Neodiprion lecontei: one gene and its partner. The protein of the gene in region 2 interacts with the protein of the main gene of each other region in a biochemical or structural test. Links are inferred from orthologs where the notes say so. Each region holds a gene or a part of one and is shown on either strand. Other genes may lie near its edges.

Evidence for each region.
Region 1: of the proteins of synembryn-A (region 2) and guanine nucleotide-binding protein G(o) subunit alpha, one has a biochemical effect on the other in vitro, tested with the Caenorhabditis elegans proteins (2 studies listed by BioGRID). The link is inferred for Neodiprion lecontei from reciprocal best matches to the Caenorhabditis elegans genes ric-8 and goa-1.

What each region holds. Positions count from the first base shown.
Region 1 is NC_060260.1:39,891,671-39,896,956, forward strand, and holds the start of guanine nucleotide-binding protein G(o) subunit alpha, read right to left. Parts: upstream 3,021-5,286; 5' UTR 2,054-3,020; intron 1-2,053. UniProt on the Caenorhabditis elegans protein: Guanine nucleotide-binding proteins (G proteins) are involved as modulators or transducers in various transmembrane signaling systems. In the 1-cell embryo, probably together with gpa-16, controls nuclear rotation and spindle elongation during mitosis.
Region 2 is NC_060265.1:6,195,398-6,202,062, forward strand, and holds synembryn-A, read left to right. Parts: upstream 1-1,716; 5' UTR 1,717-2,012; coding exon 2,013-2,102; intron 2,103-2,434; coding exon 2,435-2,574; intron 2,575-2,661; coding exon 2,662-2,777; intron 2,778-2,911; coding exon 2,912-3,210; intron 3,211-3,292; coding exon 3,293-3,456; intron 3,457-3,702; coding exon 3,703-3,952; intron 3,953-4,038; coding exon 4,039-4,183; intron 4,184-4,312; coding exon 4,313-4,460; intron 4,461-4,545; coding exon 4,546-4,665; intron 4,666-4,912; coding exon 4,913-5,003; 3' UTR 5,004-5,918; downstream 5,919-6,665. Other genes in the region: probable dolichyl pyrophosphate Glc1Man9GlcNAc2 alpha-1,3-glucosyltransferase, read right to left, coding at 144-353, 485-653, 789-1,061, 1,131-1,300. UniProt on the Caenorhabditis elegans protein: Chaperone that specifically binds and folds some, but not all, nascent G alpha proteins prior to G protein heterotrimer formation, promoting their stability and activity.

The DNA of each region.
Region 1 (5,286 bases), on a different chromosome or scaffold from region 2:
GTACGTAGGTATAATCCTCACCGCACGTATTATACCGCATTATATACCTACATCGCTGCGGAAGAGATGCGTTAATTTAAATTTGACCCGAAATTTCCGGACTTCAGAGACCGTTATACACGTATCTTGCCCCGCTTCGTTAAATACTGTACATACATGCACGTAACATGTGTGCATTTGAAATTTATCTACCTCGTACGTTGCTTTCGTTTCTTTTGGTTTTTTTCTAACCGCTTAACAATTATTCAAGACTCGTTACGCGAACGTCAGCGATTCTCTTGTAAGAACGCGAGATACGATTCTCGCAGTTGATAACACACATGCCATTAAATTCACGAGGATGAACCCTAGCATCCAGAATCCACAGCGAAACGTTCTAATGTTCATTCGAATAAGGTAGCGAAGACCGATAGTCAAAATTTCGTGAAAAAACCTTGAACCTCCGATACTTTTATAGAATTAAGAGGATGAAACTAAAATGCATTTTTCCATTTCCAAAAAGTTTAACTCTGGCTGCTAGCTTCAGCTTCTTCTTGAATAAATCGTGAATGAAACAATCCATTTCGAACGGAATCTAATCGATAATAACGAGATTCTAATCGAAATCAAACTCGAGTTAAATTTTCTTTCGTGCTCCCTAACGTGCCTTATTATTGTAATTAATATACCTACGTAAAAAGAAAGGCGTGACGAAAGTAGCAGGAAAAAAAAGTCGTCGAAAGAACACGCAACGTCGGGCATGCAGCAGCTTGAACGAGGAACAATTCGTTTTTCACGAAGTTAAAAAATCGACCGCCGAGGTTTTCCTTCATTACACATTTGAATCTCGGAGGCGGCGTACAACAACGGTACGAAACGTATATACATACTTGTGTCGGACATGTACGCACGGGGGTGGGTATTTATTTTAAGAAATATGAGCGTGTATGTAGCAGCGAACTCGAAAGCTGCCGCAGAGGCGGACCCGATCTCCGGATTCTCCGGCAGGCACTTATTCATCATGCTTCATTGGTGGGGGTCGCCGGCTGCCGATGGATACAGCAGTGAAAAGCAGCGGCAACTCTGCGAAGAGCGAACCAGCAAACTAGCGATTCTCCGTTTCGTTCCCGGTCCTGAACGACGAGAGCGGGGCACCGCGGTAAAAATCCCGTTTTAATCTACACCGTATCTATCTACTATCTACCGCAAATAATTACGCACCGACTACGCGGCGCCGCGTCGACGTCCTTTCATTGTCGGTTTTCCTCTACTTGTTCGCGCGAATCCGCAGATCGAATACAAAATTGTTAACGAGGATGTAACCGCGTTGCGCGACATCTACATCTTCACAATAAACTGCATGCTCTGTTCTTATGCATCGTATTACAGATCTATGCAACCTATGCTCTTCGAATAGTTATTTTCAAATTTGAATTTCGAACGTTCGACCGCGGCTTGCTTCGAGCCAAACGTCAACAGCAGACGATCGTTCTCGCGCTTCGTTCGCTCAACGACGATTACGATTCGCTACGCTTTTCGAATACTTGTTTCCAAATTTGAATTTCGAACGTTCGACCGCGGCTAGCTTCGAGCGGAACAGCAACAGCAGACGATCCTCCTCGCGCTTCATTCGCTCAACGACAATACTGGTTCGCCGAAATATCGCCCCGAAATTCACACTGGGTCTGCTCGGAGCACGTGAAGGCGTGCACATCGAAGGTACCTGCGAGCTATTGACTCCGAGTCCCGAGCGGGCGCGAACGGGAAACGAGACGCGGGGACGGAAAGACGGTGATAAGCCGACATCGCGAGGGATCGAGCAGCGGCGGTGGCACTGCACGCACCCTCCTACGCACGCCACCAGCGAAGCGGCGGCCGCAAAGCAATTGACTCGCCTCTCTCCCCCGTCCGAGGAGCGGAACGCCGCCCGCGTTTGATTGGAGTGCCATATTCGAGCCTAGGGAGTCGGCGGCGGTTGTTTCCCTTATTTTTTCATTTTCATTTTCTCTCTCTCTCTCGCTCTCTCCCTCTGTCTCTTTCCCTCTCTCTCTCTACCCTTTTCGTCATCACTTACTTTCGAAGCCACCCCGCGAACTCGGAGACCGATGAAACGGCTTCCTCCTCGCACGTCTCCTGCTTCCTATGTCCAAGGGTGGTTAAACCGCGCCGTTGCAGCACCGCGGAACTCGGACATTCATACACCCTGGACTTTCGACTCCGTCGGATCGCCTGGCTGCCTCTGCCTTTAATCGTATCACACTGCCTTTGCGGGTCGTTAACTCCCTGCTTTATTCTCGAATGATGGATTTTGAATTTCGATTATTATCCCCGTAACGATGCGTTCTCGCTTGTATTGTACCGTTTTTTTTTTTTTTTTTTGCCGATAATTATATCACCGTGATATCGCGACGAGAGAATTATTGGGGATTTTTTTTCGCGCACTCCCGGTCACTTGTATTTTCCGATACTATGTATTTGATCGATAATTTGAGAATCGTAAGCCCCGGCACAGCCCCGTCTCTCAGGAGGTGGGTTGGTACTTTTTACACAATCCAAACGGGGGGTATACGCTCTGCCGTTTCTCCTTACGCGTTTTTTGAAAAAAAAATTTTTATTTTTTTTATATGTATATATATACTCTGAATCGTTCACCGGCGACGCGCGGTCACTTCTATTTTTCTTCCAAAACTACGAGTTGATATCACTTCTCCCTCTGGCTCTCTATTCTCTCTGGATCTACTCCGCCACCTCTTCGCCGTTTGATTGATGCATAAACACTCCCGAATACTCTTCCGTTTATATATCGTCCCGCGCGATTCGTCCACCTTTCTTAGGTGCCTTCTTCGCTTTCTAACAGCGAAATCGAGCTACGCCCGGGCTGTGCCTTCGTCGTGACTCTAGCTCTCCTCCCCCTGCGGGAACGCGATACAAATTTTTCTAAAACCGATCGAAAAACGTCTTTTGACAGCGGCAGGCTGGACGCGTACTGGCAGCTACCTCGACGCCAGCGACCTCTCGCCCCGCCCGAACCTTCGCTCGCTGCTGGGGACGAGCCGGCCGCCCGATCAATCCCACGCACCAGCCCACGGGCCCCGCGTCTAGGCAGAGGACCGAGATCCTGTTTGCTGGAGATTCAAACTACAGCCTGGCGACATCTGGCGTCGCTTGCCCGAACCAACGGTCGCCACTTCGCTCGGCCGGTAACGACGAGAGTTACGGTACTGAAATACTGCCGGAAAGATAGGACGCGAAGATTTGAAACGGGGCGGGGGGAAGGCTGACTGCTGGAATTTTTAAGACTTTTGATTGCTTGCTTTCAAATTATATCCGTCTTGGCAGACGAGTAAAGTATTAGTTGGTATGCTTCTTCGAAGGAAAACAAAATTTGCGTTATTTTTAAATAACGCAATAAAAAATATCGTTGTTCAACGAAACGTGTCACGAATTGTCTTCTTTTGCAACTTGATTATGGAGGCTGTATGCATACATCTCAAATCCTAAATTGCTGTGAGGGATATACGTGGTAGAACGAAACGATTCACGTTTGGCAAAATGCCAATATTCATTCACAAAGTTGAAACTCATTGTCGAGAATTATTCAAATATTCAGTCTTAACGGTGAATATATAGACATATATATATATACGTATGTACACCACAGTATCCGGTGATAGTTTGTTTTTGTGTGTATACTATCGCTTCTTGGCATGACATCGTGATGTATTTCTTATTTTATTCTATCATTAATTACTTAAATTTCTTATTTCTTTCGCGGCTGAATACGAGAACTTTTTACTGCGTTCAATGAACGTGTAATAATGCAACGACGATCCCGAATCTTAGTTATGTACAAAAGAAAAACCTGCGACTTATCTCGTTGTAAACTGATCAAATTTACAGTTCAATAAAACCTGAATTTAATTATTCATTCATTTATTTCCGTTTACACACGGGTAAAAATTATGCCACGATATAATAATGTATCAACCTATTAAAATTCTACATGTATGCCGTGCATGTGATATTCTGCCTGACAGACCTTGATCAACACTTGCTATTTTGCACGAACGTACTTAATCTCCTCCACCTCCGCCTCCTCCTTCTCCTCTTCCTCCACTTCCTTCTTCTCGCCGAACTTTTGTAACGTACAACGTGTGTGTGTGTGTGTGTGAGTATAAATAGCAAGATCTTTTATACAATTGCCTAATAAATAATAGTTGGCGTATCAAAGTAACGACCGCTTGCAGTATAAAGATCGTATATGTGTAAAGTTTGGATTCAAAATGAAAAGAATATTGGAAGCTGCACGGTTTGATCAAGGCTGTATAATTCGAATTGTAGATGGTAAATAAGAGAGAGAAATAGAAAAATACGAAATACAAAATTATCAAGCCTAAAGTAACGCCAGTGAATATGTGAAATTACGGATGCGGAGATAATTGAAACAGAGTTTCATAGTTTTTACATAATAATTTGATTATCGCAGACTCATGTACTGTATACGTATAATATATTTATGAATTTTTGTATGCATAGGCGAATCAGTATATGTATAGAATATATATATATGTATATATTATTGCAATATATGCGCTTTTTTCCACTGTACTTTATTGAAAATAATATATATATATTTATTATTAATATTTATATATATATATTATTTATTATGTATCTATGTATATATTTTGGTTATTATCAAACAACACATGACATTCCTGATATCATATTTACATCGAGTGTCTATTACAATTACTCAGTTTAATGTATTATCATATCGTACAATAGATATTATTACATAGTTATAGGTCATTTAAAAATTTGTGAAATATGTTAAAAGTGCCCAACTCTACATGTCGTATAAGGTGTGTATATATATATATATATATATATATATATATATATTATATATTATATATAGTATATGTATTAAAGGGAAGGCTCAGTGTTACGTTCGAATGTCAAACTGTATCCAATCAATGATGATCGATATACGATAATTAATTATGTATTTCGGAACTGCATCAATTTGTTTTCTTTTTCTTTTATAATATACAATCTGCTCGACCGCAACAATCAAACCGTCCCGTGCTACTGTTGCTGCTGCTGCTGCGGCTTCGCTGTTTTATTATACAGACACTCAGAATGTTATTCAATTGCACCTAGGCATCGTAATCAAATCGGTGCGTGAAATTGCGTCATTTGTACCAACAGTTTCCAGTGAATTTCTTATATTTTTATAACCAAGAAACAACTTATGGAATGATTTTTATGTAGTATTTTTTTTCATATGAAGTGGGTAAGAGA
Region 2 (6,665 bases):
AAACACGATATTTATTTGTACTGAAAGCTTTATTTTGTCGTGTTGTACTTCTGTATGTTGGGTTCTGTCAAAGAATTCTAAATTTAGAAATGATTGAGCTCTACGAGGGTATAGAAGTATGTATATTTTTCGAAATTTTTTACCTGTGGTAATTGACTTATGAATGGCCCAAAGGACAATGTTGTAGTTAGAATAACGATACTTCCAAGTATTAAAATTCTAACTAGACATTGTCTATTTTTGAAACAGTACATTCTCAGCAACCACACAATGAATGCTGGAGCTACATATACGTATATGTGTTTTAAATTGAGGAGAACAGTAAACCAGAATGCTCCCTGAAGAACCTGGCTCTGAAAAGTAGTGTATTTTAGTAACAATAACCTCTGTCAATAACTTGTATAACATTGCAAACGATTAATCAATTCAGAAGGTAGCTGCAAATACCACAGTCAAAGATAGAACAGTACTGACGATAATTTACCTCCTTCGAAATCCTGGTAACTTTGGACAAAGACAACATAAGTACACCGAGCAGAAATCCATTGTACTGGAAATGAATGTGATCAACGATCAGTAGTCCAACGTTGCACAAAGTTAAAACTATCAACGTGGCAAAGCTTTTTTCATCCTGGTGAAGCGTTTGGCTTAGTCTGAGATTTAAAAAGAACATTTCTTCACATTAAAGGAGAATTTTGCCACAATTTAGTCGGCGTTTACATGTCATCTAAAAGCTCGTGTCCATGACATTTGTTGAACTGTTACAAAATTCATCTTAATAAACTTACTCTTTAACACCATATGCATATACAAAGTCCGTAACAATGACAGTCGAACGTTGAAATATTTTTGTTGCCACAGACGCATACCCAAGATTGTTCACATTCAGCATTTTCGGATCAACAGACTTCGCAAAATTACTGAGAAAGTATTCGAACCAGGCAAAAAAAGGCGGGTAGTCCAAGGTCCACTCGGATTTTGCATTGACATACCATTCTTTAATCGGCAAGCTGTGAGTTATTGCAAGCCAATTTCGGTGCACTTCAAAGTCCGTCGAGTGACTAAAGCGTACAATTGTTGAATAATGAGATGTCCATAAAGAAAAAAATAGCAAGAGGGAATGTACTTACTATGTGGGAGATAGAAGAAGTTTGACACATGCTATCAAGGCGCAGAGAAACCAAAAGGACCGACTTGATCTGTTAGAAGGATCTTCCACTGCTGCCGTATTTTCCTTTGCCTCTTTTTCCGAAGGTTCGACAGTTTTTACAGATTCTTCGTTCTTTTTCCGCGACGACATTCTGATACGGAGCGGACGTCGAACCGTCGTCCTCGGCGAATATCATATCAATGATCGATATTTGTGCGCTTTCAAATTTTCAGGTTATCCTAAACACCCGACGTGTTCCAACCATAGACTGTTCCAACGCTGTGCCGGGCCGGTAGAAACCACGGTCGAAACTCATCACATCTTTCTCTATCTCTCTCCCTCTGCGCGCCGATTGGTTCAGGAAGCACCGTCAGCCAATCACAGCGCAGAGCGAAAACTATAGTGTACTCCAATTGCCTTCAGCCTTCATCCATCGCGCATACGAACATTGGAATGTGGTAAGGTGGCGACGCCATCTCTCGGTTGCTTTGGCGGATATTTAACAACGAAAGCAGGCGGAACCTTGATATTTGTTGGTACATAGGCACACATAGGCATCGGTGACGACTGTCACGCACAGTCGCAAATGTATTACATGTAAATACATACCTATAGCCACACGCTTCGCAGGGCTTCTGTAGAAGCACGTATCGGGACCGAAGTCCGAATTACAGTTTGCAAGTTTCGCGTTCTAATATACGATACACCCCAAATTCATGAACATATTCTAAGTGCTCTATAATGTAATCAAGTGTTAACGCAGTTTCGATATTATACCTTTTCAACAATACAACGAACGCTGTGTAATTGCGGCATTGTATACTATACAATAAACCTATACGTCACTGACAGTTCGAGAAGGATGATACAGAACATGGGAGTTGTGAAATTTGATATTTTCTCTGGGAGTTCCGATGAACTAACTCAAAATTTGAGTCAATTCATTGCTGAGGTAAATTATAAAATAATTTCGCCCAGGCGAGGTTATCTTAACAGCTCTTTGGCAGCCTGTCCTACAGGTGTCGTAGCTCTTTAATTTTTTTTTCGCTAACTCAATTACTAATTGTCGATTAGATTGAATTTGTTCATTCGTTATGTCCAAACTCTTCAACAATCCTTTATTACAAAAAAGAATACTGTTTCTACTGAATATTTCAACAAGTACCTTCATACCTCGTTCTAATAAATTTGAATTATTAAACTCAACAACCACACCTATTTGCTTCTTGTCGATCATTTTGCCAGTTGCTAAAAATATAGAATTATTTTGATTATTTATTACAGCATGAAACACAGAGGAATTTTACCGAGCTTAATGAAAATAATCTGAGAAACAGAATTTGGACACAGTTATTCGATACCCTCAATAACGAGGAGTATAAATCTACACATCAATTGTGTCTAAGTGCACTCAGATTACTCAGGTTTAACTCTATTCCTGTTATAAACCAAGTAATGTATTTAAAATTCTTCTTATCGGGATATACCAAGTAACATTCATTTATTCGCAGCCGAGATAAAACTGACATTGATGAGTTGGTGACAGAATCAAGAATAGCAACTCTATTAAGATTTGCCTACTTAGACAATAACCTTGACAATGAAAATGTTGCTTCCAATTCTGAAAGTGAGTATCACTCCGTTACCTTAGCTAATTTGAGTAAAGACCTAAAATTTGTCAAGTAACATTATATTTGCAGAAAATAAATTTATGCCCTAAGTCAAAGTGTAGATTAATATGCTATTATTTTGTTGTTTCAGCTGTCGTGGAAACTTTAAAAGTGCTATGTAATTTGATATACAACAGTCAACAGGCAAGGACCCTTGTGATACAAACATCATCTTGCCTCTCCCAAACAGTTCAACGATTGAGCAAGCAAAGAAGCGAACTGACACACGAAGGCAGACTGTTTCACCTTAGACTACTTTTTTTAGTTACCGCTCTATGTATACATACTAGAAGTAAAGTTAAAACTGAATTGAACGCAGAAGTCCATCTTATTGAGATGCTGGAAGAAACTTCTGAGCAGCTTAGAAATAGGCCACAATCTGTTCTCAAGGTATTGATCCTAGCTGGAAATTTAGTCGTGAATTTGTATTTAAATACAACTCAGATTTTTAATTCCTCACTTCATTTAACAGGTCAATGATCATGCTATTGCGTGTGAAGTTTTGAAAGTTTTATTCAACCTTTACATACGAGCCGAAGATGAACAGATGGAAGAGGAAAAGAATGAAAAATTAGTATCTATTTTGTACGAGCTACTGATATGCGAAACTATTGAAAATCAGGATGAACTCATATCGTGAGTTATTACAATTTACTATAAATAGAGATAAATTTTCTTGTTGTTTTATGTATTTCTACACAATTGATTACAAAATAATAAACAATCCAATCATAGAAAGGTGGTGTCAATATACACTGGAACACTTTAACGTTTGGAATTTATTCAGTTAGACTGACACAGGTTTTTTGAGGTTTTTTGTACTTCCAACATTTGCTATACTTTGTAAAAAAAATTCAAGTTGGTTCCAATTGTATATTTCAGGCATGCTGTGAATTTGTTAACAGTAGTACCAATAAATTCGTATAGCACATTAATTCCACCCGTGCAGAGCGATAATGTGAAACTAGTCTATCACAACATGGATATGAGGGCAGTTTCTACGCTATTGAAATTTTTGAACAAACGTCTAGATTCTGAAATTGATCTGACAGAAAATATCTCACCAATTGCTACGGTTCTAATAAGACTCGCCAGAGCTCAACGGTTGGCTCGAAAGTACATTCGATTACAGGTACGAAATTACTTGAGTGATGAGAATACCTACGAAAAAAATTGAAAGAACACAAATTCTAATTATTGTTTAACTCAATTCTATAGATACTTCCACCATTGAAAGATGTTATGAAACGACCTGAGGAAGGTATAACGCTTAGAGCAAAGTTGTGTAAGCAATTAACTAATCCACAAACAGACCTTAGAGATTTAGTGGCAGAGCTGATTTTTATACTTTGCAAAGAAAGTGGTAAGCATATTTGCCAATTGTGTCACGTTGTTTAATTGAAGACGTTTACTTCTTTTATTACGTTCCAAAAAATAAAATAAGAAAAATAAAATTGGAAATCGAATAAATTACATTTACTACTTACATCAGTTGCTAGAATGGTAAAATACACGGGGTACGGAAATGCAGCTGGAATGTTCGCAAATAAAGGACTTCTCGGCGGTCGTCAACCAAAAACAAATTATTCATCCGAATCAGAGGACAGTGACACAGATGAATACATTAAATACAAGGAACAGTGAGTATATCAAAAGATAATGATATTCGACTGGCACTCAACATGTACCCAAGCAGAATGTATAACACTTCGATTTTTCTTACAGAATTAATCCAATAACTGGCTGTTACGAAAGTCCAAAGCCTAATCCTTTGGAAGGAATGAGTGAGGAACGAAAGGAATATGAGGCTGTTCAGCTTGCTAATCTAATGGATAAATTGACGAGGTACTGACAAATGAAGTTATTTTTCCATTTGAAGTAAAAGGGTGCTCCTCAAGTTATGTCCAATAGAATTATTCGATAACATTGAAGTCTTGTTTGGGACAATGGCAGTTTTGATTTTTAGACTATGCTTTACTGCAATAGCCCGAAAATTGAATTTATTGTTCTCTGGGCATATCTCGAGTGATGCAGTTCTTAAATACGATAACATAGAAATGACTCCCGTTGAAAAAATATTTTTATTTTTTAGGGAAGGAATTGTACAGCCATGTCGAATTGGAGAAGATGGCAAACCAAAGCCGATAGAACATGTTTTAGAGTTACAGAACGATTCTAAATAAGTCTCACAGATCAAAATTTACCTACATTCTCTATTACCTCTTTCTTGAAGTATAGAGTTCCCAGCCAATAAGATCGCATCGAGATCATACCATAATTATTACTTATTTATGCTTTGACCACTGCATATACGCTGTGTTAATTTATTTATTATCACTTTCCGTTTTGTTTTAATTGATCTAATTGCTCTGTAGTTTTCAAATAATATCCACTTAATTGAAGCGATATAAATGATTGTAGGTACTTATGCTTTAATTAAACGTTATTAAATGACGTACATAAGTATTCATTTACTCTGTACCATTCGCGTCATTTTATTTAATTTTTTTTTTTTTTGGAACTACCCAAGTTATATTTTTTTTTTTCACTTCGTACATTTTCAATGCCTTCTCTAAATGTTTTTAAATTACAATAATTTAGCTTGCATAGATATGCGTCATGAGCTGGTGTTGTAAAAGAAAGCAAGGCTAAGATTTCATTTCAGTTGGTCTATTTTCTTACATTTCAAGAATTCTACACTCCATGTATTGTATAAATCTGAATCAACCATGATTTGCTGAAAATCATTAGCTCGTGTGTAAAACAATTGTAGAAATGAATAGAGACCCACTTGGTTTGCTTACTTTATTGAAAAAGAACAAAGAACAACGTTACAAATTAAACAATTGGCAGGAAATAAAAAATATAACAGTTTCGAAAATCACATGAAATGTTAAACATTACAATTTTCTTTTTTTCTTGTAACTTGTGTTATGTGCTTTGTGAGCATCACAATATTATTATTGCATTGCAGCCTATGTGCACACAAGAATGTATGCCCCTACATATTTTAGAGAACTGCTTTAGTGATAGAGTAATTTGAAAATACCTTAATATAGAACAGTTTGTATATATTGGCAGTTAATGTCTAATCGAGTTGATATGATGAAAAAACCTACATACTGTCAACAAAGAATATTTTCTTTAAGGCTAACATTATCCATTCTATATTAAAATATTTCCATCTTAAAACATTTGATGAATATACAAGTAGCAAATGTTCCATATTTTTTACTTTATGTAATACGGTATGTAGATTAAAATATTATATTTTTTTGTAAAAGTGTATATAGATGTGTATACGTATAATACAATAAATTTTAATATTTCATATAAAAATGAAACTAAAATTTTGTAGGTACAAGGTAGAAAAAAGCTGATTTGCCTCAAAACATAAACGAGACCCCTGTTTCAGATAATTACGGACTAGCCTTAACAAACTTTGGAAGAATTAAAAAAAAAAAATCATAAACGAAATAGTAAATTAAAAAAACAAAAAAAAAAAAAACCTGAAAACCAAAGCATATTTCCTAAAAATAATAAATCAAGAGTAAACGACTAACATTTAATGAAATCAAATAAAATACTTTGAAAATCAATTTTTTAGTGACAAGGTATTTCAGTACCAAGGCTGAGTAGGTTTTGGGAGCCGATGTTTATAGACAGCCAAGACTAACTGTCTGGTCTTTATATGGCTGTGAATAATACGTTTTACATCATATCCTGAGACCATGTTCCTCGACATCCCATTAGCATATAAAAAATATATTCATACATACGTCTTCCATATTGCATTACAATTTATTTTTTGTTTAAATTATTTATTTTCTTCATTTCGTAAGTTG